Xenopus tropicalis: one gene and its partner. The protein of the gene in region 1 purifies or fractionates together with the protein of each later gene. This does not show direct contact. Links are inferred from orthologs where the notes say so. Each region holds a gene or a part of one and is shown in the gene's direction. Other genes may lie near its edges.

What was found.
Region 2: the proteins of csgalnact2 (region 1) and slc30a1 purify together in Homo sapiens (co-immunoprecipitation; 3 studies listed by BioGRID and IntAct, counting the BioPlex papers as one, with this or other methods). This does not show direct contact. The link is inferred for Xenopus tropicalis from reciprocal best matches to the Homo sapiens genes CSGALNACT2 and SLC30A1.

Annotation. Positions count from the first base shown.
Region 1 is NC_030683.2:50,284,563-50,300,616, forward strand, and holds the start of csgalnact2 (chondroitin sulfate N-acetylgalactosaminyltransferase 2), read left to right. Parts: upstream 1-6,047; 5' UTR 6,048-6,179; intron 6,180-11,366; exon of another isoform or gene 11,367-11,485; intron 11,486-12,974; exon of another isoform or gene 12,975-13,075; intron 13,076-16,054. UniProt on the Homo sapiens protein: Transfers 1,4-N-acetylgalactosamine (GalNAc) from UDP-GalNAc to the non-reducing end of glucuronic acid (GlcUA). Required for addition of the first GalNAc to the core tetrasaccharide linker and for elongation of chondroitin chains.
Region 2 is NC_030681.2:14,909,154-14,925,209, forward strand, and holds the start of slc30a1 (zinc transporter 1), read left to right. Parts: upstream 1-9,402; 5' UTR 9,403-9,574; coding exon 9,575-10,163; intron 10,164-16,056. UniProt on the Homo sapiens protein: Zinc ion:proton antiporter that could function at the plasma membrane mediating zinc efflux from cells against its electrochemical gradient protecting them from intracellular zinc accumulation and toxicity.

The DNA of each region.
Region 1 (16,054 bases):
ATATAGAAAGGGAAAAATGGCAGAAAGTTCTCCAACTTTGAAAGGGACAATAACATCTTTTTTTGCCCCCGGTAAGGTTTTTCATACTTGTGCATCTCATCTCATTTATTACAATCAGATCCTCTGTAAACAATCACAATAATAAAACAAAAAAAAACTTTATGTTGTATTTGCTCATATAGTGTTCATTAGCCATAACATTTAGGAGCTGTATTACAATACATCAATTCTAAAAACAGAAAACCATGGCAAAAATGTAATTTGTGATAATTTTTAAGTATCATTTATTTCTGTCACTAAACATGTTTGATCATTATCAGTTTATTGTGTTCTGTAATGTTCATAGAAGATAGAAGTCAGTTCACCTACCTTACTCGCTTATAAATTGTTCTTGTTCATGCCAGTGAGAGTGCCACATACAGTAAACAATATGCTTATTTTTCTATATTCATGGTTTTTGTCTTTGTAAAAAAATGTTTTTCTTATTGGAAATAATGTATGCCAACGTTATATTATGATTATTTAACACTGCTTCATAGAAGACAAGATATTTGGAGCAAGAATGCAAATTGCAACATAACAAGAATATGGCATAATGGAGAACCCAATAATCTTTACAAAAGACCCAATCTACATTTTCTGTATTTTTATCCAAGAATGGTTTCCCAGATACAAAAGCAAAGGTTTGGCAGCAGATGGATAAAATATGGTTAACATTTTGATCTGCAACAATTATGACCCAGCATTTTACAAATGATAGCTATGCTAGTGCTGTCTTCTCTATTGATGTTGGAGAGTTATCTATTTTAATAAGATTGATTCCAAATTAATCTTATTCAAGGCAGTTATGTCCAACTCATTACATTTACTGGGCCTTGTTTTTCTCATATGCATGTTCGAGGGTTGGATTAAATTAAATGATGATGGCATTGAGTCTATAGAGCCTTTAAGCAGACTACGTGCCATAAATATCCTTTGGAGGGCCACATCTGGCCCATTTGCCTCCAGTTGGACAGTTGGAATATTTTCCTTTCCAAATTTACTCCACATCTGATATAAAATCATACTTTTCTTGATTGTTACATAGGGTTGAAAAAAGACCAGAGTCCATCTAGTAAAACCCTTCCATTTAAACCCAGCACACACAACCTATACTTACCAATTTATACTATCACATACATAAACTATATATACATGTTTTGTGGGCAGTCTTGTCATGACCATATTTATATACAGACACCAGAGGGCCCCTGTTAAATACAAAGGCAATGCTGTTCAGAGCAAGAGAGCATGCACAGAATATACACCATACAGTATGTGACAGTCAACAAAAGGGAAGTAGGGCTGCCGGTTTGGTGCCTAGGGCAGCAGCAGACCACTGCTTGTTCCTGAGCCTTGTGGCACAAAACCTCATAAACAGTAGTGTATAAATAATAGAAAAAGAGGTTTGTCTGTCATTGAACATAATTTCCTAAATACCCTTAGGTGCATTTTCTTGGGATCCAACTCTCTGAGTAAAGCATGGATTGAGCACATTTTGGGCACATTTTTAAGCCCCACCCCGAGAAATGACCCATAGAAAGTTATAGGTAATGGTTAGGTTGCCATTACTACGCAGTACTTCATTAAAGGAGAAGGAAAGGCTAAGTCACTTGGGAGTGCCAAAATGTTAGGCACCCCCAAGTGACTTAGATCGCTTACCTTTTACCCCGGGCTGCTGCCCCTGTACGAAGAGAACATTACCAGCCCAGGGTAGCAGAGAGCGCTTCCTACTTCCTATTCGCTTGCACGCGCATGCGCAGTAGAGTGAAAAGCCGAACTTAAACAAGAAAGTTGGCTTTTTACTCTACTGCGCAGGCACCGGTCCACGGATTTCGCCGGCAGAAGAAAAAGGAAGAAGGAAGCGCTCATTACAAGTACCCTGGGCTGGTGCTTTTTTCTCCTAACAGAGGCACCAGCCCAGGGTACAAGGTAAGTGATCTAAGTCACTTGGGGGTGCCTAACATTTTGGCACCCCCAAGTGACTTAGCCTTTCCTTCTCCTTTAAAGTGGACCTGTCACCCAGACATGAAAATCTGTATAATAGAAGTCCTGTTCAAATTAAACATGAAACCCAAATTCATTTTTAGATTTACACATCCAAACCCATTATAAAGGCATATAAAAATCCCAGCTGTCAATCATATATTGCTTGCCCCGCCTCTATGCCTTAGGCATAGAGGCGGGGCAGACAATAACTTTAGCTTTCCATTCAGCACTTCCTAGATGTCACTGCACATCTCACTTTTCCCCTCCCTCCTTCTCATCTACCTGTGTAGCCAGTGCATGGGCCTGGGCATCTGGTCCCCCATTCTGGCACATAAACAAGATTTTGGCATGATACAAAGCTTGCCTTAATAACAGTGTCCACAAAATGGCGCCTGCCTGCTTGCTTTGATTGAGTAATTCCAAGACGGAAGGAAACAAGGTTTATATTATTTTTATAGAGTAAGTAAAGTTTATTTTGCTCAACTAACAATATAGAAAATAATTTGGACTTATTTCTTAGGGTGACAGGTCCGCTTTAATACATTAACATGTATACACATTTATATCTGGAAGTTTAGATAATGTTTATGCACATAAGTCCAACTGAAGTAGAGAAGGGGGTTATATTTTCTCTTTAAGTGCTATAAGTAGTGGTGTAATGTCATTTACGGAATTGCTTCATGTAAAAAAAAGACTTTACATGTAGGTATCCTTTGTAGCTGTGCAGAAATATAGAAGCAACCCATGTGTCATTGCTCATAGCTTAATTTGATTAAGGGGAGTGTCTTGTTAACCATTGATACCCAGTCAGGGACATTGGGGGCTTGGGGCACCATCCACTTAATTATCAAAAGTTTTCTAGCATAAAAGAGTAAGGCCTGTGCTAGTGACCTGGTCTTAAGAAGGGGTAGTATGTCATCCACTAGGCCTAGTAGACAGACCTCTGGGGAATAAGGGCCAGGGAAGGCTATTTCTTATAATCTATAACTCCTTTTCAGAATTTGACAATCTGGGAACAACTCCAGACCATGTGACAGAAGGTAGCTTTGCTCTCTTCACATTTGGGGCATAGTGCGCCAGGATTTCGCCCCAGTTTTTACCAATCTAAGTGAAGTGATATAGATTTGATGAAGGAACTTAAATTGTATAAGTCTGTCCCTCAGTAAAATTAGATCCCCATACAGACAGTCTGTTGCTTCCTCCCATTCCTGCTTGGAAGTATTGCCATAGATGTAGATACTGAAAGAGCTGAATGTCTTGGCCCTCTGCTTTGTGCCCGACTTCTCCTAGTAGCTTAAATTTAAGTCTCGGCCAATATATAAAGTCCTGCAGGTCCCTAAGATAATGTTGCTATTTTTCCAAAGGGCATCGACGGATGAAAGCAACACTTCCCGACAATTTGCAGGCTGCCCTCCATGCCCAGTGCACATTGACTGAACAGTGAACATTTGACTTAATTTATTTATTTTGGCTGTTTAGCTGCAAATCTGAATTTTTTCAGTTGTCCGCCACAGTCAGTTAAATGAGAAACACGTGGCTGGCACAATAGCTGACTTGGTTCAGTGGCTACACAAGTACTGGTACAGCAGGTGATTCACAGAGATCGCAGTGACTGATTTGTGAGGCAGTTGATTTGGGCACTTCTTCGCTAGTGTAATCCAAATGTGAGCTAAACAAAAGACATAGTATGGTTTTTCAATTTTTCTGCTGCCTTATCAATCATGCTTTACATAACTACTGTAAGCAGGTTACTTAACTAATCTGTAGAAAAAATTGCAGTTAAATATCATACTAATATATATATATATATATAAAATAGCCAACAGCAGCAAACCCACTAGAGGTGTGTGGCCATAGTCTAATGCGACACAGGGCTGAATCTTGGCCAGAGTTTGACAGAGAAGTATAAAACCAAGGACTAGGTTTGTGAGGTTATTTCCATGTACAAAAGCCTTATTCAAGGTCAGACTCCATTCTACATCTTCCAGTACTAGTAGCCCATCATTTGGGGAAAATTGTATGAAATTGACTATGCAGGTGAAACAGAGTAGGATGTTGTGGTTTCTTTGAAGAGAGGCTATTATGTGGAACGCTGCTTTTAAAGGGACACAAAAGCCTTTTTATAAGTACAGAGAGATGTCTAGTCCCTAATAGTTCTTTGGAATTCAAGCTACTTCAGTAGCAGCTGTTTTTGCCTTTCAGCTTTGTTTAACCAAATGCATATCCTGAACACCATCCACCTTGCCTTTGCTCCTCATTTGATGTCATATGAATGAGCAATATATAAAATATGTCTCATGGAAGAACAGCTCACTCAATACAATAAGATAATGACTATTATGTAGTTTGATGCCCATGGGAAGACAACCCTGCCCAAGGAGATAATTTGTGGAAATAATAATATGACAAATTGATTAGCTAATGAAAATAGTAGCATAGATTAGAAGGTGTATAAGCAAACTTCATAAATATTAGGGATGCACCGAATCCAGGATTCGGTTTGGGATTCGGCCGAATTCATGTTCCTGGCCAACCGAATCCTAAAAATCACGTGACTTTTTATCATGTAAACACGGAAGTTGAAAATGTAATCTTTTCATAACCCAACTAGCATATGCTAATTAGGATTCGGCTTCAGTTTGGTATTCGGTTGAATCTTTTATGGGTTTCGGCCGAATCTAAAAAAGTGAATTTGGTGCATTCCTAATAAATATTGTATTCAGCCCCAGGGGAATCCATGCCAGAAGAGATGTCACACGCAAATGCCCCATTGAAGCCAAAAATCGCTACCCGTGAATGAGCAAATGCTTCTAATGACGTCACCACTTTTTGATGCAAAGTTCGTAGGATTGCAGAAAAATCGGGAGAATGCTATTGGGCAACTGGGGTGCAGCCAAAAGCTTTAACTATGAAAAAATTAGGGGGGGGGGGTTAACAGCTCTTGGGGGCACATTTACTTACTCACGAACGGGCCGAATGTGTCCGATTGCGTTTTTTTCGTAATGATCGGTATTTGGCAATTTTTCAGAAAAATTGTCGCGACTTTTTCGTTGCCATTCCGAATGTTGCGCAAAATCTGGCGATTTTTTCGTAGCGTTACTACTTGCGCGAAAAATCGTGACTTTTTCGTAGCCTTCGCGCCGAGTACGAAAGATTCGGATTCATTCAAGCTTCAGTATGGTGACTTTTCTTGGGCCAGGTTGGAGCTGCAGGGTGCCATTGAGTCCTATGGGAGGCTTCCAAAATCATGCTAAGTCTGAAAGTTTCGGCCGCCGCTTACGAGCGCTCAATACAAAAAAGTCGTGACAAGATACGAGCTCATCGTAATGGCTACGAAAAACTTGCGTTTTTTCGCGCAAATCGTATTGGTAACGAAAAAGTCGCGACAATTTCCGAAAAGTCGTAAAGGCGCCGAAAAAAATCGCGAAAAATGCGAAAAAGACGCAAAATGTTCGTTTTCCAATCGGAATTTTTCCAATTCGGATTCATGGGTTAGTAAATGTGCCCCTTGGTGTTATAAATAGCTTGGGAACCAATTTAGTTACTTCCTTTTAATTTATAAACAGGACTCAATTTTTCCTTTTCCTTCTGCTTTCTTTTGTTTCTACTTCCCATAATATAAATCTGTGTGACTGTTACATCAAATTCAATAAACACAGAATATACAAACAACAAATTCCCCTGCCCTTAATTTGCACAAACTCTTTTTTTTTTTTTTCTCAACTCAAGAGAACAGACTTTGATCGTGGAAGATGGCAGGGGACACTCTTGATAAAAGAAAAACAAAAAAACTTTTTTTATTTCAAGGGGAAATTGGGAGCTAAGGTGGCAGAGCGCATGGCGGTAACCAACAGGAAAGAAAAGTCCTTTCTTTTTTGTTCTCTAACACAAGTAGGAGGCGCAAGCAGAGCGAACAAGCAGAGCCACTCCAACTCACTAACAGTGCGCTACTGTGGAACGCTGAGTCCCGCCCACTCGCCACGCCCCCAAGGCGGCTCTGTGATGCGTCACTCACTTTACGTGCAGTTGTCACGCCAGTCTCGCGTGATGAGATTTGTGGCTGTGGGATTGTTGAGGAGAGAACAAGTGGGCACCCTAGCAACTGCTTTCCTTTCCGAAGCTCATTGACAGCAGGGGAACCGATAATCCAAGTAAGTAAGGCATAGCTATGTCCTTTTTAAGACCCAAAACCTACAGGGACCGGAACGACTGCCCCCCCATGGCGGCCATATATGTATCTGACTTTAATAAATGGCTGTAACCATCAGTTTTCCTTTAAAAAAAAGCGAGAGATGCTTTCCTAGAACTTATATTTCAGCTAAGACAAATCATCGCCTGTTAAGGCTGGCAGTGGCTCATGGGAAATATAGTTTAAGGATAGTTAAGTGTAGTAGACACTGGTTTTCTCTATTTTTTTTTTTTTTTAAATTGGTAACATATAGCCCAACTCAGCATGGAGAGATGTAGCAGTAACACACTGCATCATTTATATAATTGCTGTGATAATAAATAACTGAAAAACACAAGGTGCTTTGCAGATTTTTATTTCTGTTAAGTGATATTTGTTTTTAACTGGCACTTATGTCTATTAATGTGAATGGATCATAGGAAATCAATTGCTGCTGCATAATCTATAGATCCCTTTTTTAACTTAAAGGAAAAGTAACACCAAAAAATGAAAGTGTATAAAAGTAATTACAATATTATGTACTGTTGCCCTGCACTGGTACAACTGGTGTGTTTGCCTCAGAAAGACTACTATAGTTTATATAAACAAAGCTGCTGTGTAGCCATGGGGGCAGCCATTCAAAGGAGAAAAGGCACATAGCAGATAACAGATAAAGCCCCACTATATTCTACAGAGCTTATCTGTTATCTGCTATGTAACCTGTGCCTTTTCTCCTTCTTTCCAGGTTGAATGGCTGCCCCCATGGCTACACAGCAGCTTATTTATGTAAGCTATAGTACTGTTACTTTAGCAAATACACAACTTTACCTGTGCAGGGTAACAGTACATTATATTTTAAATACTTTAATACACTTTCATTTTTGGCGTTACTGTTCCTTTAAAGTAGTAACACTGACTGGTTAAAGTGTACACTGGCAGGTCTCAGGCATTTGTTTATGTCTCAGTGGCATATGGAGCTGGAGCCACAGCACACAGGTGGGATGCAGATGTTAGGGAGCATCTTTATTGGAGAACACTGACGTTATTTTCCATTGTGTGCATTGCTAACTGGCCTTGATTTAACTAAACACACTAGTTTATTTATGAAAATGTGCCCAGAAGCACTTTTTTTTTTATTTACAAGAACAGTTTGCACAATCTTAATTTTTAGAATTCTGTTTATTTTGGAATCTCATTACCATAGATTAGCAACATAGCACACATACAGAGTAATGCCATATAAGTGGTATGCGTTTCTTACACCCAGTCATAGGATTTGCTAATAATTTTACCTTTTTTTTTCTCTCTAAACATGCTTGCTTTTGATTAAATAAATCCATACTTTTTACAATATCCATAAAAGATTGCGCCAGTATTGAAATACTAATGTTGCTGATCAAAATTTCACTACATACAGTTTATAGCCTGTAGCAGTAATTTACTCTAAATAAAAATTTGTATGTACATCAGGTTATGAATGATTTTGCTGCCAAAAGATATCATCAAACAAAATTTTATTTTGTGTGCCTGACAAACTCTGGATACAGTAGAAATGTGTTTTGGAAAAAATTACAAAACAGTTATTTGTGTAATAAAATAGGCATCCACTTGGCTACATTTTTATCCTCAAAATACACAGAAACAGTGAATATCCTGTAAATTATATTTTTTTTAGATGATGCTTAGTGATGTCATCAGTTTTAATCAGTGTTCAGTGATGTAATTTGTCACATGACTCAAACTGAAAATTGTGTATTATCTCAAATGTAGCACCTGTTGTACCTTGGAGTTCTGTAATCTGTATAAAAGCACTTGGCAGATTATTTGGTACAGTGACAGTGTGCGGGGTGTTATGCACTAGTGATGTCCGGGGGCCGCCTGATATCCGCAGGTTTGGGCCGACTTCGGCACATCACTTGCGTGTCGAGGGCAGGTTTGGGTAGAGCTCTTCTGCTTTCTCTCTCCACCGGCGACCTAATACTGCCGGCTTCCTCTTATGGCTTCTGTATTTATAGGCACGCCCCGACATGCCCCGCCCCTTTTGTGCCATCATAGTGGGCGCTGGGTCTATAAATAGAGGGGAGAAGAGCCGTATCGGGTAGGGTTCGGGTTGTGAGCAGTTTTTCTTGACCCGCGCGTTACTAATATGCACTTCAGCTCTTTATAAATTATTACACGTGATTGTATATAGGCCTCATCCACTTCTATAAAATGATTAGTTTTGGCTGAACAGTGTGTTTATTCTTCAGCAAAAGGCATTGAATAGAAATGAAAACAGATCAATAATGTGGATAAAGATTTATGTGCTTATCTGAATGCTGCTAAAGACAGGAGCAGAGGAATAGGTGGTCCCTACCTGGCTTAAACCCACAAGATTATTCTATATTAATCAATGTTTGGTGGTGTAATGCTCAATTTTAAGTAAATTATTTAAACTATGAGGTTAGACTGTCAAGGTTGGGGTTGTTTTATCTGGGAAAAAAAGGCGCTTGTGAGGGGTCATGATTAGGTGATGTTCTTTTTTCCATAAAAAGAATCAGTGCAACAGAGGCCACCCCTTTTTATTGGAGGAACGGAACTTTTGTTTGTAGCAGCTTAGGTGGTTTTTTCATGGTGAGGGCAATGAGGTTTTGGAATGCCCTTCCTAGAGATGTTGTGATGGCAGATTCTGTTAATGCCTTTAAGAGGGGCCTGGATGAGTTCTTGAACAAGCATAATATTCAAGGCTATTGTGATACTAATATCTACAGTTAGTATTCATGTTGGTATATATGGTTTATGTATGTGAGTGTATAGATAGGTCACATATAGGTCTATGTGTGTGCCGGGTTCACTTGGAGGGCTTGAACTTGATAGACTTTGGTCTTTTTTCAGCCCAACTTAACTATGTATATGACTCACTGAAATTTGTGTATTATAATAACTATTGTACCCCTCCCACAGAAAATAAAGTTCCTGGAACCACCAGCAATTGCTCCAGTCATACCATGTTATGCAGAATCTTCTAGATTCTAGCAACTATCACAGGCTAGAAAAAGTTTTTACATTATCTCACCGTGTAGTGTATAACCAGCTTGATTTCAGTGACTCCAGAGCTTTTAATTACTAATAATGTTTAGAGCTTGATGCATGTGACGAACCAAATACAATACATACTCAGGTATGAGTTCCATTATCTGGAAACTTGTTATCCAATAAGCTTAGTCCCATACGTCTGTCCCATAGACTCCTTTTTAATAAAAAAATTAAAATTTTTTAAAATGATTTTGTCTTTGTAATAATAAAACAGTATCTTATCCTTGATCTTAACTAAGCTATAATAAATCCTTATTGGAGGCAAAACAATTTTATTGTGTTTATTTAATGTTTAAATTATTTTTTTAGTAGACTAACGGGATGGAAATCCAAATTACAAAAAGACCCCTTACCTGGAACACCCAAGGTTCTGAGCATTCTGGATATCAGATCCCTTATAGAAACAGACAAATGTCCACAAATGGTAACTTACTAGCTTAGGGGGTGAATATCATCAGTAGTAAATATGAGCAGGAACTCCAATGAGCAGTCCTCCAAACAGGCCCAAATTTTGTTTTGCACACATAAGAGCAGTTTTGTGTGTTTCGTGTTCTCTCAACAGTTAGTCATAGACTAAGGGGCAGATTTATCAAATTGTGTTCATTAGAGTGCCTGCTCATATTTACTAACGATGATATCAGGTCCCATACATGTATAACAAAATAAGCTGGGGAGGAATGTATTAAACACATGATTTTGTGAGCCATTAAATGTCTGTTTATATTGGGTGCATTTTTTTAATCCTAATTCCTTTTTTTTCAGTGCACAGCGGTGACAAAATAGGTTTTATGATTGCAGTACATGTAATTGGAAGATGTATGTTAGAGCCCTGCCTAATATTTTGGGCCGTTATAAAGACTTATGAATAATATTGAGGAGCAAATATATTTAGGCTGATCAGTGGAGGTTATGCTGGTGGCACAGAGTTGTCTGCCGGAATCTTTTTATTCTGTTAGCAGAGAGTTAATAACAAAGCAAAGTGAGAAATTTTACTTGTGGGCTTGAACTTCACTTCTGGAGGGAAAAGTAGGTGATTCTTGTGTGTTTTGTGAGATGAATGAGATGCAGTGGGTACCCATGGGACTCATGGTATTTAGGTTTAAACCCTGGCAAAATTCCTTCAGAATTTCTCTATTTGAGTTAATTGCCCCAATTTCTATGCTTGCAGCTTTGAGTTAATCGCCACAATAATATTAATTTGGCAAAGTAAGCCTAAAATAAGGGGCTCTTATTCTTGCTTTTATACTTTATCTGGTGTGGCAAGGAACTGATTCAGTAATGCCTAGCTGCTCAGAAATATAATTTTACATAACCCCCTCCACTGCCCTTCACCCTCTGATGTGGTTAAATGTGAATAAAAGGACCCTGCTTGCTTTTTTTTTCTCCCACTGCTGTGTACATAATTTAGCAGAGGGAAGTGTTTAGTAGCCTTAAGTTTAGAAGTGTCAGCTTGGTGCAAGAAAGAACAGTTGGCAGAAATTTGGAAAGAAAATAGTTTAGTTCACATGTGAGTTTCCTTTCTTGAGAATTCTTTTGGTAACTGTTCTGTTGACTGATCAGATACAGTGAAACCTCAGTTTTACATATTCTGGTTTTAAATTTTCCCCCGAATTTTACACCATTTTTTTCTGGTTCCCTAAAATCGTAGCTGCTAGTAAACAGACCTCATAGCCCCCTAGTTTTAATTGACATTTTGTGGTTTGTTATTTTTGCGGCTAAATAAATATTTCTAGGCTTTTTTTTAAATTCTATGTGTTTTATTCAGCCATTGACACCATTATAATATTTTATTGCATTTATTGTCGGGCTTTTTCATTTTTCATCATGGTGAGTGTATGACAAGCTGCTAAACATGGTGCAACAAGACTACAGGTATGTGATCTATTATGTGAAACGCTTGAGACCTGAGGTTTCTGGTTAAATGGATCCCATTTCTGTACCAGGCAAAATGCCTTTGTGTGTACAGTTTTTTTTTTCTTCTCTGCTTTTTAGTTTTGCAAATGTAACGAGTTAATCCTTTTTCCTGTGCTTGTCCCTGTGGTCATGGTCTATGTGCTAGTAGAAATGCTTCACACAGCACTTTTACTTACGTTGCTGTAGGGTTGAGTTACAGGGGCAGAAGCAGTAAGAACTGGAGTCAGTCAGTAGGAATTTCTCACTTGGCATCTAGCAATGATCACACCTGGAATACGCTATGAAGGAAGCAACTTTGAGGTACAATGATGGGCAAATAATACATAAAAAAACTTTATATGATATTGATTTTAATTATACTATAACAGAAATACACAAGGCAAGGTCTTGTGCTATTCTATTTTTAACTTTTGTTATTAAAAGGTATAAAGGTAAGAGACACTACTGGCCATATCTATATCTGCCTTTACTATCTATCATCTGTTTAGTTAACATCATTTAAAATGTTGTAGGCAAATAAAATGATCTAACATTTGGTGGAAAATAGTCAGGACATTTTTTATACTTTGATTTAGTCCTTATAAGGACTTAATGTCATGCATCTCCACAGAAATAATCCATTACATAAATATAATGTGTGTATTTTTTTCCTTATGCAGATAATGATACCATTATTTCCCGCCACCTTAGACCTTAGAATTCTGGTGTGAAAATTTGCTGTTAATAGTTATGCCCTACATTCTCACACTTCTGCTGTCTGCTCTATAATAAGTTCCACAGCCTTTATAGCCAAATAGATTTGTGATATGTGTCAGAAATCTGTAGGTGCTGTATAGGCGCATCACCCTTTCATTGGAAGAAATATAGAATGGTAAGCATGCTTTGGCACAGATTGATATTAGCCTATCCGCTCTAGGTAGAGTTCTCTGCCAGGATGTTCACCTGCTGGGACCCACAGAGAATATGTGGTGCGGGACAACAAAAGCTTGAGGTTCAGCTATTGCCCATAGCATACATTCTTCATACACTTCACAAAATACCCCCAATCTATTTAGAAGCAGTATAATTTTGTCCACCTTGATATTATAAGACATATGGCAGGTAATTGGTTTCAGATGCTGGTAAGTCTGGGTAGATATATGTCTAGTTTGGTGTGGCATGAGTTTCAGCTATTCCCACTCCCTTCTTCAATCATGATTGAACTGGAGGCTTATTTAGAGGCAGTATAATTTGATGCGCCTTGATTTTATTGTGGAAGAATAGAAGCACCATCAGATGCTAGACTTGTCACCACCTTTTCAGGTTTGTTTGTTTGTTTTTTGTGTTGAGGGGAAGGAGATATATTTGCCCCGTGTCATAACATATTCTAAACTGCAGATATATACACACATATACAGATTTACTTTGTGTAAAGCTAGCCTAAGCACAAGTTATTGCCTTTTCATATGCCAAATGGGGTGAAGCAGCTAAAACTTCATGGGTTTAAAAACTTGATCCACAGACGCTCCCCTCCTCCACAGTGAAGTCAGGCAGACCAGAAATTACAAGCAGATGCTGTTTCATTCTAGACTTTCTTGGCCACGTATAATCAGTGTGTGCTATCAGAATAATGACTTTATATAAATGCTGAGTCATTTTGAAAAGTGTGTTTGCTAAAAAACTAAATTATTTGGAATATGTTATAAGGAAAGCTCGGGGATGCTATTTGCCACATGGCTTAATGTAGAAAATGTGCATAGACACTGTCTGAACTACCAAGATTTTTTTTTTTTTTTTTTTTTTTACACAGACATAACCGAGAATCCCTTGTTCTCACAGTGTAATTCCTCTGGGAATTGATGTCCCTCTGCTTTCCATTGTGGGTGCTGCTTTGATTCTTAAAAAATAGAGGTACTGTAAGTCTCAGATTCTATCACTTCACAATGGGGAAAAAAGGTGAAATAGGTGTTACATTACACTTTGTGCTTAAAGGTGGCCATACACAGGCTGATAAAATATACCGACAGCAGCTTATTGGTCCATGTATGGGTCCCTTCAACGGTTGTTGGGAAAGCATACAGTCTAGTTGCCCCAAGTTTCCTTTGCGAGTGAACAAATTTACTATAAAGTGTCCATACACGGGCAGATTTCAGCTGCCGATTTGGGTCCTTCAGATACATTGGGCAGGTTATCTGCCTAAGTATGGACACCCCCGACGGGCCTACCCAACTATATGTGACCTAAAATTTGGCAGATCTCTGTCGGGCAAGTTTGATATTCCCACAGCTTCTGGGCATGTACCTGCTTCCCAATGGATCGGGAACCGCGTCGTAGGTGGGCATATTACCAAATAAGCGGATTGCACAGTGCATGGCCACTTTTGGAATAATGTTGATTAAGGGGGAGATTTACTAATCCACAAATCCGAATCCCGAAAGGGAAAAATTCGGATTGGAAACGAAAATTTTGCCATCTTTTCGTCGCCGTCACGACTTGTTCGTAGTTGTCGCAACTTTAGCGTATTTTGCGCGACTATTTCGACGCCGTCTCGATTTTTTCGAATTGAGCGAAAAAACTAACCCGATTTTTTTGCAACGACGACGAAAAAGTCGCTGAACATACGAAAAAGTTGCGACGGCGGCGAAAAAGTCGCAAAAATACAGATCATTACGAAAAAAATGCATTCGGACGCCTTCGGACCGTTCGTGGATTAGTAAATCTGCTCCTAAGTGTATAAAACTAAATGCTAAACAAGACTGTCACCATATTTTTTTGGATCTCCCAATTCTAGGGGGTGCTTGCCCAGAGCGATGGGAAATATTCGAGAGATCATGTTATTTTGCAACAGTTTAGTCCAAAATGTGACAAAAATCTGTTTGAAACTGCTAATTAATTCTCCTATAGTGTGAACAAATATTTAAGTTGCAAATGATGGAAGGAAATTAACATATTTCAGCTCCTTATCTGAGTTAATGGTTAAAGGGGAACTAAACCCCAGGATGTGTGCAACCTTTAAACACCTCAGCCAATACCTCTAGTCTGCCCCTGACTGAATCGAATTCCACAGAGTAGCATTAATCTATGGCAGCTTTCCCCCTCCCTTCACTTTATTGCAGCGGCGAAACTGACTTGCGCAATAAATAATTATAACAAGCAGGTACATGCCCAGAGGCTGTGAGGAAGCACAGGGCAATATGGACAAAAGACAGACAAAAAGTCCAAGCAACATAAATGGCATCTGTGAAGTGGTGTGTGTATTTATGTGTAATATATATATATATATATATATATATATATATATATATAATATTATAAAACTGATTCAGCGATTCACTTGAGGGCAGGCATGGTATTTAGGGAAATATGTGGAATGTTTAGTCTCCTTTAAAATGTATATGAATAAAGAGACTTAATGGCACTTGCAGTCTTTTTTTGGTGGCAAGCTTTTCAGTTTTTCGTGGAAAAAAAAAATAGAAAGAACTTTAAAGTTTTTTTTTTCATTGGTAGACCCAATTAGCCCCCCTTCTTATGAGGTTTAAGATAACACAATCACACTCTGTCTAATCTATTGCCTAATTCCTTATCTCTGATATACATACATTTAGAAGTGATAAATAAGTGTGAGTGTCTGCTTTTGCATACGCACTGTGAGATCTCCTGATATTTATGTTACCCACTCATTGCTTAACATAACTGTCTGTTCAGTTCTTTTTACCTTATTTTGAAATGCATGTCAGCAGCCAGAAGCTGATTAGCCAGAAGGGAAGTTAGAACCGAAAAAATAAACTATACAGACAATAAGACCTTACCAAAATTAACTCTAAATTAATTGTTGCAGCATTAGTTCCATATAAAATATCTTCGTTATCTGCGGTTGAATATCTGGTACCACAGGTCACAGATCTCCCTAAAAAGCTTTCCCAGCAATAAAGGGAATTGTTGGCGCCGCATTTGCTTTCCCACTGGGAAGAGTTGGGTTTTTTTTCGTGCCAGATAAGGGATACGTTTGTTCTTATATAACCATTTAGGACTCCAGGTCCTCAAAATGTTGATACAACATGATTAAATATTGCCTTTTGAATGTAACAATGTTTTTTTCTGATACTGAAAACTTCTCTTTGCTTGTTCCAAGATATTTCCTAAGCTTAAAGGAGAAGGAAAATTACACTCACTGGGGGGTGTTAGGCAGCCCCCAGTGATTGTAATCACTTACCTGAAACCCCTAGGCTGTGCTCCTGTTATGAGAAAACTAAACCAGGTGTATGCAACAAAGCAATCTTCTTCCTCCTTCGGTCTTCGCGCAGTGGAGTGGAAAGCTGAACTTTAACAAAAAAGCTGGCTTTTTGTTCAGCTGTGCAGGCCCCAGGATCTTGTCAAAAGCAGAAGGAAAGAAGAACACTCACATGCCTTAGGCTGATGCCACACGAGGCGTAGGGCTGAAATTTTCGGCAAGTGGAAAAATGCTTGCCGAAAATTTCAGCCCTACGCCTCGTGTGGCATCAGCCTTAACCCCAGGGGTTTCAGGTAAGTGATTACAATCACCTGTGCCTAACATTTGGCCCAGTGATTTAGCCTTTCATTCTCCTTTAAGCCTAATACCAAGTTACTCTTTTGGTACACTAAAAGTAACACTGATTTGGTCTTTGAGGCAGTGCTTATGGGGCAGCATGGTGAGGTATGTCAGGAGAGAAGAGTGGGATTTTTTAAATTCTTTTGAAAGTGTCCTGCTGAAAACAAACAAGTACAAGAATGAGGAGGGGGATAGTACTGCTGTACAAAGTGTATATCTGTGTTAATGTTTCAAATTTTATTCAAAGGGGCACATGACCACTGGAAATAGATTAGACATGTATAAGAAGTAATCCTTTTTGCAGTTACCATGCTGTTTAA
Region 2 (16,056 bases), on another chromosome or scaffold:
CCTCCTCCTCCCTTTAGTAAGCCAGGTGGTTGCAATTGGACAATTATCGGGCTTTATAAGCCAGTTACAATTCATTAAGCCCTTTTTGTGATTCCTGTGTCCGTACCTGCCTGACTCCTACCTGGTTCCTGCACCCATACCTGCCCGTGTTCCTGTGACCATACCTGCCTGACTCCTGCCTGGTTCCGTTCCTCGTCTCCTGTCCCTGACTGCAGTTGGATCTCCCAGTATTTGACCTCGGCCTGTTTATTTGACTACTCTCTGTCTTCAGCCTGCCCCTGACCACTGCCTGTTATTCGGACCCTCCTTTCCTGCTGCCAGTCCTGACCCTCTGCCTGCTTAACGGACTTGTATTGTTTTGCCGCCTGCCTCTGACCACTGGCCTGTTTTAGGGACTTGTATTTCTTGCTGAATCCTTAATAAATGTCTCTGCATCTCAATATGCCTTCTGCCTATATACAACAGTATCCGTTATATCCATATTACACAGCATATAGGCTCCTATCTGCCAGCCACCCACCTGTGGCTGCTCCTGACACAGATCATGTCAGACAAATGTAATTACTTCTTATGATGAGGTTAGTAAGAAGCTGGACAGTGGGGTTGCAGTAGACATGATCTATTTGGATTTTTTAAAAGCAGTTGATACAGTGCCCCATAAACGACTGCTTTCTAAGCTAAGGTCTTAGCAATGTTTGTGTTACATGCATAGGAAACTGGCTTCATGACCAGGTACAGAGGGTGGCTGTCAATGGTACATTTTCTTATTTTAATAGAGTTCTTAGTGGGGCCCCACAGGGTTCTGCATTTGGTCCAATTTTATTTAACTTCATTTGTTCATTGATGACTTATGGGAGAGTATTGTAAGCAATGTAACAGTGTTTGCCAAAGACACAAAACTGTGCAGCCCAATTAATTCCATCCAGGATGTGGTATCCTTGCAGCAGGATCTTGACAAACTGGGTGGATAGGCCTATTGTCTTTTATGACCATTTTGGTACATCTTATCCTGCCCAAAACTATACTGACCATGACTAAAAATTGTATTCTATACGGGACTTCTCTCCCTGTACATAGCACTTAGATAGCAGTGGACCAAAGTCATTTCATTTGGTGACATTCACAAATTAAGACAGTTGCCAAAAGGGTGAGATATATTAAATAATTTAATTGGAATTCCTGACATTTTTCTGGTATTTAATTCACATTTATTAACCTTGTCCAAACATTCTGGAATTTTGTTATCAATTTGTTCAAAGTATTTACCCCTTTCCACCAATGTTGGAAAAAAAACATTTTCTAATCTTGTTTTTATTCAACCAAAACTTGCCCCCAAGTCAGAATTTCACAAATAACTGCCTGGTTTGGGGGCACTGAGAGCAACATCCAAGGGGTTGGTGAGCAACATGTTGGCCCCGAGCCACTGGTTGGGGATCACTGGCCTAAGGGCACACATAGCAAATTGTCACCTCTCCTCTACCTGCAATTTTATACACAGGTGCTCACCCCTCTAGCTCCATAGACAAGCCCAGCATCAGTCTGTGTAAAGTCTCCACACTGTGTAGCTCCACACAGGCGAACGCCGGGTCTGTCAATACAGATACAAAAGAGCAAAAGAAGGTGGATCTGATTTCCACCAACTATGTACAAAAGCAGACAATCTGCTATTTGTACCCTTTGAAAAACAGGCCCTGGCATATCAAGTACACAGAGGCCCAAACAGCTCCCCACCAGCCCAATAAATAGTGACTATGGCATTTGGGCTGGTGACATTGCCATGTCATTAAAATCCACAATAAGGGCACCAGGCAGTTCTTTCATATTATACATAATTCCCTTATGTAGCAATGTGCACAAATATTTTCAGTTAATGATTTACACAGGCTTGGGACTGGAATGTAAGGGGCAATTGTCATACCAGGAAGGCTATCCCTGACAAACATATTTTTCATTATGGTACAGTTTTATTTATATACCTTTGTTACTCTTTCACCAGTACAGGGGCCTGAAAGGCAGGTTAACCCTCTTCGTTCCAGACTAACTGGACAGAACAAAACAGGCCCTGACTGGCAATCTGTGAGTTCTGGGAAATGCTAGAGTATCCAAGTATTAAAATTAGATTTTATAGTCTCATTATAAGTGAATGAAACAAAAAGACTTTTGTTTGTGATCGGCTTTTTTATTCCTGTAATTTAACACAATTATTTAAACACTTTTGAGCTTTTTCTCAAATAAAATAGCAATCACAGAAAAACAAAATTAGTCACAATTTTTTTCCCCACTATTAAGAAATGATTAAATCTGCCTCTATTTGTGCCAGGCCTAGACTGGGATTCAAAATAGGCCCTGGCATTTCCATTACACAGAGGCCCCAACAGCCCCCCCCAGCCCAATAAATAGTACAGTAGCTTGTAATTGATTCTAACTACGATATAATTAATCTATATTGAAAGCAAAACCATCCTATTTACTTAATGTTTAAATGATTTTTTTTGTATAAAAAGTATGGAGATGCAAATTATATAAGATCCCTTATCCTAAAAACCCCAGATCCCAAGCATTCTGGATAACAGGTCCCATAGCTGTATTACATTTTCTTATTTATACATGGTAAATTTCTTTATTGAGGAAACTGCTCATTTCATATGACGTTGTTTAAGAAGAGGTTTTATAGAAAAAAAAAAAAAAAAAGGATTATTAAGTGATTTGCACTTGTTTCGTTAAGGGTGTTGCTCAATCCAAGTTGCATGCTACAATACAGAACATCAGGGATATAACCACAAGATGTAATGAAGCACAAGATGCTGACAAATCTAAATAAGAAGAATCTGATTGTGCCAGTGTTTTGGGGCATTTCCTGTCTGGGAATATAAGAGGAAATGCTACCCATTTATAGCCAGGTATATAACATTTCTGCAGCGTCATGTCCTTTGATTCACCATCAGAAATCCATTTTGTGGGCCCTGTGACTTAATAAAAAGTAAATATTAGAGTTTGGAATTACATTTTTCCACATCTTCGAGGACTGCCCCAATCGTGCTGGGTTTTGGGTAGAGGGGTTCACGGAACAGTTTCTATTCATGCCATGTTCACAAAACAGAACCCTGGGGGTTAGTGGAGAAGATAGCCCTAGGAAAGTACCATTGCATTCTCCTGAGAATATTACTTTTTATAATTAGAAAGATGATAGTATTTATTTGGAGATGACCCACTTCCAATACTGGAAAAAAGCTGATAAATGATGCTCCTCACTGTACAATCTCATCTACCTGAGATATGTTTGATAAGGTATAGTACCATTGGACAGCTGACCCACCACAACTGAGGCCTACACCATCAGTATAAGGGCTCTGGCACACGGGGAGATTAGTTGCCCCGCAAGGCTTTTTCGGCAATTTCCTGAAATCGCGCCGCCGCGTGCGCCATCCCACCGGCGACTTACATTTTCGCCGGTGGGATGGCAGGTGATGGCAACTCGGGGAGATTAGTCGCCCGCAAACAGGGAGTTTTGTCGCGGGTGACTAATCTCCCCGTGTGCCAGAGCCCTAAAGGCGAAGACACATAGAGCTACTAGTAGCAGCTACTTGTCGTGGCTACTAAAATAGACAGTGCTGATCATTTACTGATAATTGTCTCTACATGTGTTTAAGCAGAGGCAATTCACAGTATTGTCTATGGCAGGGGATTTTCTGAGGTTTAGTAGCCGTGAAAAAGTAGCTGCTACTAGTAGCTCTGTGTCTTCACCAGGAACTTTCACTCAGGGCTGGGCCCTTTGTTTGTAGTGAGAGGATTATCAGAAATGTTGTGGTGTAAATTTAATTGAAAAGTAATGGGTGCCAAGAATTCTTTAGAAGGTATATTTATTTATGCAGCAACTGAAGGATAACATTACAGTGGTGACAGTGAATTAATAAAACAGCAGTAAATAATTCAATATAACCTTTAAAAAAAAATATGAGCAATGCTCTATGGTCACACCCAGCCAGGTCTGCCAATGAACACTGCTTGTAGAATGGCAATCCTCTCTATAAAGAAACACCCTCCTTATCGCTAAGGCCCCTATTGTGGGTTTCCAGGTGTCTCCTGTGTACAACCAGGGTACTAACCCACTAACCTTCTGTTGGAGCTTTGGGCTGCTTGCTTACCCTGACGGGCACTAAGTGGGTGCTGACCCACAACACAAGCTGGCTAATCCTAACAGCTAAGAGAGGATTCCCCTGGGGTCTTACCCTCTATAAAGGTTAACAATGGGTTCTCTCCCAATGTAGCAGTCCCTGTAGCTCCCAAAAATCAGAAAGAAGTAGTCCTCTAAAACTCTTTCTCCAGAGACAGGGGTTGTTGGTCTCTCCACAGATCAGGGATTTCTTGAAAGATACAGGAAAAGGTGATGTACCGTGTTAGCCGGTCAAAAATGTTTACAGGGTAACCCTTTTGAAATAAAAAATAACAAAAGTGGTATATAGGTGATACCTTGATTGGCTAACTAAGATAACCATAGCAAGCTTTCAGAACATTTTTTTGAAAAAGGAACTAAAATGTTCTGAAAGCTTGAAAGATACAGTGACACCTACTGGCAAGGTGTCAAATAGCTTACCAATTTAATTAGGTCAGCAGAATATTTCATTTCAGTATTATTATTAACATTTATTTATAAAGCGCCAACATCTTCCACAGCGCTGTACAATTTCAGTATTTGGTAACTGCAACCCCAAGGGTTACACTTACAAGTGAAAATATGGAGCTTCTAGCAGCATATGCACCCAATCCCCAGTCACAGTATTTATATCCCTAGTGGGTGTGGAGGATGGGTGGGGTGGAACAGGGTGGGAGCCGGGCTGAATAGGGAAATGGGCAAAAAAATCACCCAGATTCATATATTCGGAGGCATTGAAAAAAATGAATTATTCCCTCTTTTCTCACACAAATGCGTATAACAGTATATATATATATCCTTTAAGATGATAAATGAAGGGGAAGTTCACTTTTCTAAGTACCTCTTCATTTTGTATCGTTTATGGGTTTTGATGTATTAGCCTTCTTATTCTGCTTCTTTCAAACCTGGAACTGAAAACATATGGAGGTGACTGAGGGGGTCGCTGATCCCAAAAGCCAAAATAACGATAAAAGGTAAGGCTTTAACCTTATTGTTGTTCTTATTTTGTCTGGCCCTCTCTCCTATACTTTCTAATAGCTGTATGGCTGCTAGGTTAATTAAGCCAGAGAGCCGTTCAAATTCCACACCTGTGAGTTAAAAAAGGAAAAAATGTGACAATAAAAACAAATAAAATGTATTGCAAAGCACATTAGGATACTGATGTTTATACAATAATAATACTAAGAGAAATTGTTAAATATATTTATGAAAGGAACATGTTGAATGACTGCTGTGTATGATGCCTACTAGCCCTTGGACATAGAATGAAAATGATTTAGTTCTAGTCTTCCTCCAAATGCAAGAAGATATACACCTCTCCCAGCTAAAGAGCCCCTGGAAGGGGGCACATGTTAACTATAAACAAATGGGCTGTACTGTCTATCTCTCCCCCAAAACCAGGGTCCCCCAGGCTCTCACTCTGCTTTCTTCATCCTCTGCCCCTCACATGGGCTCTGCTTAGCTCCTATGGGTTTGGGTAACCTGGGGATGCTTCCCTATAAGAACCACTGTATGGATAAGGCTACTTGCATAGACTCTCAGCATTCTCATACCATTATGCCAGTTGGGATCTGGTTTTGTACCTGACCAAAGTTTGTTGTAAAGCCAATCTTGAACACTACGGATTACGCCCCTTTCTATTTAGAAAGCCCTGCTCCATGGTAAGCTTTAATGGCTTGTGCCCATAGTCGTAACTGAATCAGATGCTGATACCGTTTTTTTATGCTACTTGTATTGGCAGAAGCACTAGTGCAGGTCCAGACTGGTATTCAAAATAGGCCCTGGTATTTCAATTACACAGAGGCCCAAACAGCCCCCCCACCAGCCCAATAAATAGTGACTGTCTATGGCATCTTACAGCAGCCCCTCTGGCATTTGCCAGAACCCACAATTCATCTGGCCAATGTATTGTTTTTTGTACTGTCCTTGCAGGCAGCGATCCTCCCAAACAAGAATGACGAAGTCCTCAGATAAAGCTTGTGCTGAGCCATGTTCCCTTTATCTTCCTCAGCAGATTTCCATTGCTGACATCAGGCTTGCACGCAGCCATCTTATCTTTCAGAACTTGCTATGCCTGTAATAAATACAATGTAAAATGAGATTTTCAGGAAAAATGAAGATCTTCAGCTGTTGAGTGACCCCCCAATAAATTAACCAACATTCTGAGCTAAAATGGGAAGATCACTGTTCTAAAATCCTATAATAACATATTTAAAAAGTTACTGCTCGACAGCTTATCAATAGGTAGTAAAAAGCAAATCATAGTAGGATAAGGATATCATGCAAAAAGTAGCATGTGTGATACTGTCTGCTTAGTAGCACCTAGATGGCCATACACCGGCAGATTAGCTGCCAATTCGGATCCTTCAGATCAATTCGGCAACTTATCTGCCCATTTATCGGCACCCCCGACAGGCCTAACCAATATCTGACCTAAAATTGCCCAGATCTCGATCAGGCAGGTTTGATTTTCCATTGCATTAAGGACTGCATAGGCTCGTTCATGTGGTCCTTGGTCTATAGGCCCTTATGCCCTAAGGATCAATTTAGCCCAATATCGCCCACCACTCCCAGTCACCAGTGAAGAACACATAGAAACATGTGGCAGGAGCGTTGGCAGGGAATATGTGACATTATGCAGTGATTGGAGGGTGGTGCAAGCAGTCAGGGTGTAAGTGTGGGATTGGGGGGCAGGTAGGGTGCAAGCAGCCAGGGGTGCCTAGGGGCACAAAGTTTTGTTACATCTGGTGCTGACGTCACGCACACGCGTTACATCACTTCCGTCCACTAGGGGGCACATTTAGGCCGGTGCCTAGTCTAGCTATGGACCTAAACACAGCCTTGCCCATGAGCAGAATGCCAGTTGTGTTTGTCAGGCTGGGCTGGAGGCATTTGGATCTTTTAATAGGCTTGCCCAAAGGGATAATAATTGGGGCCCTGTCATTTGTGTAACTAGATATTTCTGGGCCCCACAACAAATTAATTTTTAGACCCCCAGAATGTCTAGAGGTTGACCTGTTTTATTATTAATAAAAATGTATAATTATTAGAGCCTTATGGGGCCCCTATACCTCCTGGGCCCCCTTGTAGTTGCAGGGTCTGCTTCCTTCGTAGTTACTCCTGTGGGTCCTGTTAATAATATGGTAAGTTGTAAGAACATGGAGAAGCCTGACCCAAAGTTTTATATTCTGTATGTTTATGTACAAATGTGAAGAACTCTAGTGTAGGATCCGCACCCTGTGGATGCCCCAAACAGGGTTATATAATAAAAGACAGTAATTTTACTCAGAAGCAGTAACCCATAACAGCCAATCAGAAGGAATCATTTACAGGTCACTGGTTTAAAAGCAAACCTTTTATTGGTTGCTATAGGTTACTGCTCCTGGGCAAACTTTATTTTTTTTTAGCATATGGGGGTAAGCGCATAATTCCTTGAGGGTATTGGGACTTTGAATGGACTGGACTGGAATAAACATGAAAAGTTAAGTTGAACTATTTCTAAATAATGTGTTATTTGTTTCTACGTAAGCAATTGTACCTGGGAGGTCCTGAAGTAAAACACCACTATGTGCTTCCCTAGTGCGGAACTAGTTCACCAGTCTGTGAGTACTGGGGTGTTGTGTGCACTACATCCAAAAGTGTAAGAGTAAAGGTGGCCATACACGCTAAGATCCGCTCGCTTGGTGAGGTCGCCAAGTGAGCAGATCTTCTCCCGATATCCCTGCCTACAGGTGGGCAAACGAACTCTGGGGCCAAACGATAGAATTATGGGTATTGGCATCCGTCGGTTCAGTGACCGCATCAACGAGCCAATGTGGCCCCTGATCCGATTAAATTTTTAAACCTGCCCGATCGATATCTGGACGATTTCAGGCCAGATGTCGGACGGGCAGGCCCGTCATTAGTGCCCATACACGGGCCGATTAGCTGCCGAATCTAAGGGACCAGTTAGAATCGGCCCGTGTACGGCCACCTTAACTGAGAGTGCGACCCATTCAGCTAATAAACAGTTTATATTTAATTTTAGGAAAGCCTGTCCCCCCACCCTCACAAATGAAGTGACTGAGTGGGTCAAAGTGCATCACTAGTGCAGAAAGCGCAATCTGTACCGTAGCGCTAGCACTCTGTGCGCTAAAAGAGACAAAATTTCAGTTTAATAGATTGAATTTCGTCTCTTACATTTTCTTGCCACCCCTGGTAACTTGCAGGGTAGCAGCGCCCCTACCCCCCCAGTATGTGAGAGGGGAGAGTCGCACGCAACCTGTGTGGGTCTGGGCAAGGCCATAGGTACAAGCACAATGTACATATATAAGCAAGCTGTTACACTGCTAGCCCAATACAGGCCTAAGGAATGCAAGCAGGGCTGTAAAATAGAAAAGCAATGTTTTCTGTGCTCTATTCTATGAATGACAAAAGCTGCAACTCTGGGCGTGACCTGCAATATACATTATATATATATGCTTCTAGTCCTGGCTGGGCAGGAGTTGGTTACCCTACATTGTTTCAGGAGTCAGAAATAGCAGTATAAAGAATAGAAAGGGAAACAGGTATATAATATTGTAGATTGTAAGCACTTTTGGGCAGGGCTCCCTTCCCCTCTTGTATCGGTTATTGATTGCTTTATATGTTACTCTGTATGTCTCCTTGTAGAGTGTAAGCTCTTTTGGGCAGGGCTCCCTTCACCTCTTGTATCGGTTACTGATTGCTTTATATGTTACTCTGTATGTCCAATGTATAAAACCCACTTATTGTACAGCGCTGTGGCATATGTTGGCGCTTTATAAATAAATGTTAATAAATAATAATCTCTAAAAAGGAAGCTCCTAGGATCTCAGGAACAGGACTAAAGTTGCCATTTAGCAATAGCTACAAAGCCAGACCTATCCCTAAATCTTCCCCTTCACCGCCAGCCCTCCCATTTTTCACTCGGGTCCTGACTGGGAGAATGTTCCCCATCTATGTGGCTCCTGGTAGGTAAAACTCCATGACAGCCCAGCACAGAGAGGACAATCATTCGGTGCCATCTTGTCCGTCACCCTGTGCGTCTCCTCAGCCAATGAGAGGGCAGGCCGCGGCCCCGGCAATGGCGCCTGTTGCTAGGCTGCAGGAAGCTACACTCTGCCCCCTGCCAATCACACCTTAGCTAGGGGGTGTGGCCCAGGGGACGCGCCCCGCCCCCCGGCTTCGCTCCGTGTGGAAAAGACGGGTTTCGGGTGCAAAAGTTGCTGTTATTTTCCTCCTCCGGACGTCAGCGATGCCCAGTGAGAGAGAAGCCGCCTGCGCCGCCGGTCCCCGGTCCTCTCGCCCTCAGCTCGCCTCCCCCGTCCCACTGACAGGCGGAAGCTACCGTGCGCCGCCGCTGCTTCTAAGCCGCAGCGACCTTCCGACTGTGGGTTCGGTAGCCGGAGCAGCAGCGCAGCCATGTGGGAGTCGAGCCGGGTGCGGCTGCTCTTTATGCTGGCCCTGACCTTCATCTTCTTCGTGGTGGAGGTGGTGGTGAGTCGGGTGACCGGCTCGCTGGCGATGCTGTCCGACTCCTTCCACATGCTGTCGGACGTGATCGCGCTGGTGGTCGGGCTAGTGGCGGTGCGCTTCGCCCAGAAGACCCGCTCTACGGACAAGAACACGTTCGGCTGGATCCGGGCCGGGGTGATGGGGGCACTGGTCAATGCCGTGTTCCTCACCGCCCTGTGCTTCACTATCGTGCTGGAAGCCATCGAGCGATTCACCGAGCCCCAAGCCATCGAGCAGCCGCTGGTAGTGATGGGGGTGGGTGCCGGGGGGCTGCTCATTAACCTCATTGGGCTGTGTATGTTCCGGGACAGTGCGGGGCACGGGCACTCACACGGGGGGCACGGACACTCGCACGGAGCCAAGAAATCGCACCGACCCCGGGAGCGAGCAGCGGGGGAATCGGCCGCCCTGGATCGGGAGGAAACCAACATCCTGGTGGAGAACTGCGGGAACTCGCTGGCAGCCGCGGCGGCGGAGGGGATGCCGGGAAAACACGGTGAGACACCGGGCTGGGGTACATGTTATAGGGCCCGCACCCCCATAGCCTCAGCGATCCCCCCCCCCCCCAGCATTAGACTCGCCCAGGGGCCCCCCAGCTGCTGTGTGACAGTACCAATAGGGGCCCCCCAGCTGCTGTGTGACAGTACCAATAGGGGCCCCCCAGCTGCTGTGTGACAGTACCAATAGGGGCCCCCCAGCTGCTGTGTGACAGTACCAATAGGGGCCCCCCAGCTGCTGTGTGACAGTACCAATAGGGGTCCCCCAGCTGCTGTGTGACAGTACCAATAGGGGCCCCCCAGCTGCTGTGTGACAGTACCAATAGGGGTCCCCCAGCTGCTGTGTGACAGTACCAATAGGGGTCCCCCAGCTGCTGTGTGACAGTACCAATAGGGGCCCCCCAGCTGCTGTGTGACAGTACCAATAGGGGTCCCCCAGCTGCTGTGTGACAGTACCAATAGGGGCCCCCCAGCTGCTGTGTGACAGTACCAATAGGGGGCCCCCCAGCTGCTGTGTGACAGTACCAATAGGGGTCCCCCAGCTGCTGTGTGACAGTACCAATAGGGGTCCCCCAGCTGCTGTGTGACAGTACCAATAGGGGTCCCCCAGCTGCTGTGTGACAGTACCAATAGGGGTCCCCCAGCTGCTGTGTGACAGTACCAATAGGGGTCCCCCAGCTGCTGTGTGACAGTACCAATAGGGGTCCCCCAGCTGCTGTGTGACAGTACCAATAGGGGCCCCCCAGCTGCTGTGTGACAGTACCAATAGGGGCCCCCCAGCTGCTGTGTGACAGTACCAATAGGGGCCCCCCAGCTGCTGTGTGACAGTACCAATAGGGGTCCCCCAGCTGCTGTGTGACAGTACCAATAGGGGTCCCCCAGCTGCTGTGTGACAGTGCCAATAGGGGTCCCCCAGCTGCTGTGTGACAGTGCCAATAGGGGTCCCCCCAGCTGCTGTGTGACAGTACCAATAGGGGCCCTCCAGCTGCTGTGTGACAGTACCAATAGGGGTCCCCCAGCTGCTGTGTGACAGTACCAATAGGGGTCCCCCAGCTGCTGTGTGACAGTACCAATAGGGGTCCCCCAGCTGCTGTGTGACAGTGCCAATAGGGGTCCCCCAGCTGCTGTGTGACAGTGCCAATAGGGGTCCCCCCAGCTGCTGTGTGACAGTGCCAATAGGGGTCCCCCCAGCTGCTGTGTGACAGTACCAATAGGGGTCCCTTCTGTCACAAAAGTCAAGTCTTTTTCATGCATCCATTTATCCATTCATTTATTATTCCCACCCCACCTGGTAAGCTCCATTCAGCACCTGGTAGTCACCCTCTAGGCTTCTTGTAACCCCCCCCCCCCCCCAGGGGTCCCATGGGTTGCTTGTGTCACCCACCTATGACAGGTAAAATGGCGGGTCCCATGAGTGTCCCCCCCCACCTATGGCAGGTCCCGCGAGTGCCCCTCTACCTATGGCAGGTGTAGTTAAGCTTCAAGTTTAACCCCATTGAGACTGCTCCATTCAGCTCTTTGTAGGCTGCAGGGCCACGGGTGGGGCTTTCCTCTCCTTGTGGATCAGCACCTATGGCTTCTGCTCCCTGTATCCCTCCCCATCATCTACACACACTGGCCATGACTTTGTATCTAATGGTCCTGAGGCAGGCCCCATGTGCTGTTTGGATCCCACCCTCTACAAATAGGACTTCCCAACCCCTAATGGCCCTGTTTAGTTGGGTTCTGCATGGCCCTGTACATTGGGGGTATATTTAGTCCCTACTATCTCATCTTGCCAAATGATGCCCCTTCTGCACTTGATATGTAGTTCATCCTCCTACTGCAAGTCCTATCAGCCTATTGCATCTGTTCAGCCTCACTTACACCCACCTATGGCAGTGGCCTTCCTATTCTGTCTGTTATATTCCAGCCTAATATTGGACCATTGAATCCACAGTTATGTTCCTTTAGACCCTTTCTCTCTAAAAGCAACAGAATTTTTTTTCTCCATAGTTCTAAGCATTAATATGACTGGTCAATATTGGCCAGATAAGGTCCCTAATCCTCTGTGTAAAGGTGGCCACCCATGGGCAGATTTAAGCTACCATTTCAACTACTTTAGGAGTGATTTGGCAGCTTAAGTGCCGGTGTATGGGGCCCTCCGGCGGGCCTCCCCAATCAATATCTGGATAAAATTGTCCAGGCAGGTTTGACTGCATCGGCTCATTGATGTGGTCCTCAATCCAATGGGCCTAGGTCCAAATGATCAATTTAGCCCGATATCGCCCATCTTAGCAATATCTGACCTCATTAAACAAGAGGATCTTAACGTGTGGGGCCACATGTAGGCTAAGGAACATTTATTAGATGTTTCATAATATCCAGCCCCCCCTGAGCCTCGGGGTTCTTCCCATTTGTTGCCAGTGCATTTTACAGATTAGAAATCTCGCCCACAAAGTCGCTGCAGGTTATAGAATAATCCCTAGCTAGGGCTGGCTCTGTATGGCACCATTGTTCTTGGGAATATTCTGCCCCAGCCTGGCACCACATACAGAAAGCATCTCCTCCCAAAGAATTGGTTAAGCAAATAGAATTGCTAAGTAAATACGAGCAAATGCCAAGTAATCGAGGAACTTATTAACCCTCACAGCTCAGAGTTTCAGTGAATGCAGTTTAGTGTTTTGGACCTGAATTCTATTCCTCTAGTTGTGCCTTCAGTGCAGATTCCAGAATATCATGATACATCGCTTCGAGCCGTCCCTGCCTTCTGTTTCTGGAAACTTCCCTGTATCTTGACTTTTGTCACGCACAAAAAGAAAAAAAAACCCCCAGTATTTGCTGAATAAGCGTGCGCTGAAGAGAACAATCATTCTCTCTAGTGCCGGGAGCAGCTTCCACTCGCTCATGTGTTTAACTGAGTGCAAAATGGGCAGAGAGCGTCGGATCCTCGCTGAGTGCAAAGTCGCAGCCGTTTTGGCCGAGTGCAAAATGACAAATGCCGTTTTGTGTTTGTGACGTTGGCCCGGTGACTTATACACCTCTTGTGTAAGCAGAGCCAGTGCATAATCTCTCCCACATGCCTCCAGAGACCCGCATTCTTTCCCAAATGTTATTTTACACTTTAATAACTGCCAGAAGTGTGTGTGTATCGGGGGGGGGGGGAGGGTGTCGTTTTTTTAAACAGTGTTCTATAAATTGTGGGGTTAATGCCGGCACACCCCTATTTGCTGCGCTGCTGTGTAACGCGGTGGGCACGGATTGCTGGTTAAAGATTTAAGACTTGTCACTTTGTGGCTAACCACAACAACTTTTTTTTGTTCTTTGATGCTTGTTGCTCCCAAATACAAGTTGTTAAAGGGGTGGTTTATCTTTTCATTATTTATTTTTTTGTAGATTTTTAATTATTTGCCTTCTTTTTCTAACTCTTTGCAGCTTTCAATTGGGGGTCACTGACCCCACAGCCAAAAAACTATTGCTCTATAGGTTCTCTCCTATTCATATACCAGTCCCTCATTCAAACCACTCCTGGTTGCTAAGGTAATTTGGACTCTAGCAACCATATAGCTGCTAAAATACCAAACTGGAGAGATTCTTTTCACTCTCCAAAACCATGCAGGCTCACAACAAGCTCATTGGTTCGTGATAGTGTGTGTGATAGGGATCTTAGATTGTAGGCAGCACTGGGCAGGGTCGGACTGGGGTGTGGAGGGCCCACCAGGGCCCGCGCCCCCCCCTAACCCCCCTCGAATAACTGGGTTCAGTGCATCCCTAGCAGGGACTAATGGAATGGTGGGACTGAAGGAAATGATGAGCAGTCTCTGTTAGGTGCCCCATAAGCCTTTGCGGCACAGCTGCTAGGATCCTATGCACAGCTTGCTTTGCTTATTGGACTGCTTCAAACTGGGTCATTTCCAACTGTTGTGTCCCACAAGCAACTGCAATCCCTATCAGTTTGACCCTGCTGCCTGACTGGCTCCCACTGAGCGTGCCTACAGCGCTTCCCACTATTACTCCTGCTTCATGCTGAGCCATTCTCTAGGGATGAATGTGTCTTCTCCAGGAGCCCATTCATTCAGCGTTGGGCCAGATGCCATGTCCCTTAGTTCTTCTATATACAATCCCTGAAGTCACTCATTAACCCTCGGCAGCCTGTTTCACAGTTGTTTGATCCCATTTATTTGTGATTTGCCCCACACATGTGGTTACGACTAAGTGATATGATTGGTTGTCTCGGGGGCTGGAATTGTGGTTGTCAGTAACAGTTTTATGTTCGTAACAATTGACTGGGATTTTACAGAATCACACATTGATTTGTTGTAGTTGGGAGGTTGGTCTGGTCAGTGTCATGGGTGAATGTTATAAGTGTGTCCTCCCTATCAGGGATGGGATAACATTAATAAGATGTCCGGTAGCCTTCTATTCCTACCTGGCATCTCTAACTCAGCTGAAAGCCTTGTGCTTTTATCTATCTCTTCCCCCCAGGGGCTCCTTCGATGCTGATGGATCAGGAAAAATATCCACTCTGCCCTCCCCTTTAAACTGCACCCACTTACGTGATTCACCCTATACTAGCACCCATGGAAGCCACTGTAATCTATGGATGCATCAAATCCACTGTTTTGGGATTTGGCTAGATCAAAACCCTGCAAAGAAAGATAGTCATGTGATTTTAAGGGTTCGGATTCAGTCAGGCCCAGACTAATAAGCCGTGTATTCTGGCAAATGCCATAGACAGTCATTAGCGATTGGTAAAGTCAATAAAAAGCGGTTATGCATTTCCATCTGTATCCCCCCCCACAGCCTTAAGTGCAAATGGCCGATACTGCAGAGAGGTGCTGTTATGTTGCCTACTAAGCATTCTGGGCTGCCACTGAATTGCCAGTAAGTGAAGTTCAACTTTGAGCCTCGCCCTTAGTGACACCACATAATGCTTAATGGGTAACATAACTGCGGTGTCAGCCATTTCCATTGCAGTCTGGGAGCGGCATATTATTCTGTAGGTATTTACTGTACTGTCCAGTTCCACCCTGTACAGTGTTCCTCTGGGATGCACTGTGTGGGGGGAAAAAGTGATTTTATCTGCCCTGAACTAAAGCTTAAAGGTGCCCATACACCTTAAGATCCGCTCGCTTGGTGATGTCGCCAAGCGAGTGGATCTTCACCCGATATCAACACCTACGGGTGGGCGATATCTGGAGAATCCAGGGTAATTCGATCGTTTGGCCCTGGGGAGCCGATGCGGTCCCCAATCTGACTAGATTTGTTAACCTGCCTGATCAATATCTGGACGATTTCAGGCCAGATATCGGTCGGGCAGGCCCGTCGGTAGTGCCCATACACGGGCCGATTAGCTGCCGAATCAGTCTAAGGGTCCGATATAGGCAGCTAGAATCGGCCCGTGTATGGGGACCTTAACATTAATTAGGCTATAAATGCTGAACATTACATCTGGGTTCCTGTACCAGCCCAAGGCTACCATGGCCCTTTAGCAGGGAAGATCTGTGCTTCTGAAAATGCCCCCAGTAGCCCCCCATCTTCTTTCCCACCACATGCTCTGGGCTGCGGTCAATAATGTTAGCTTAGGGACCGACTTCCAACAGAAGTGACCTCATATTCTGCATAATAATTCCCGACATTCCATAAGTTTATCTTCCGATCAGCTGTCCAGAGCGCACTGTGAGCATGTGCAGTGCCACAGACACTTTTAAAGAAGATCCAAACTGGAAGCCTCCACAGGACAACTTTAAAGGCCTAGATCATCAATGAGTCCAGTATATAAAGTGCAGCATTTATAGCCATAATTCTTTTTAGGTGTTAGTTCTCACTTCAAATACTAAATTGAACCCAGGATTCTGTGCATTCCTAGCTTTGTTTTCTCTCTCGCACTTTTATATGGTCACCTAACTACTT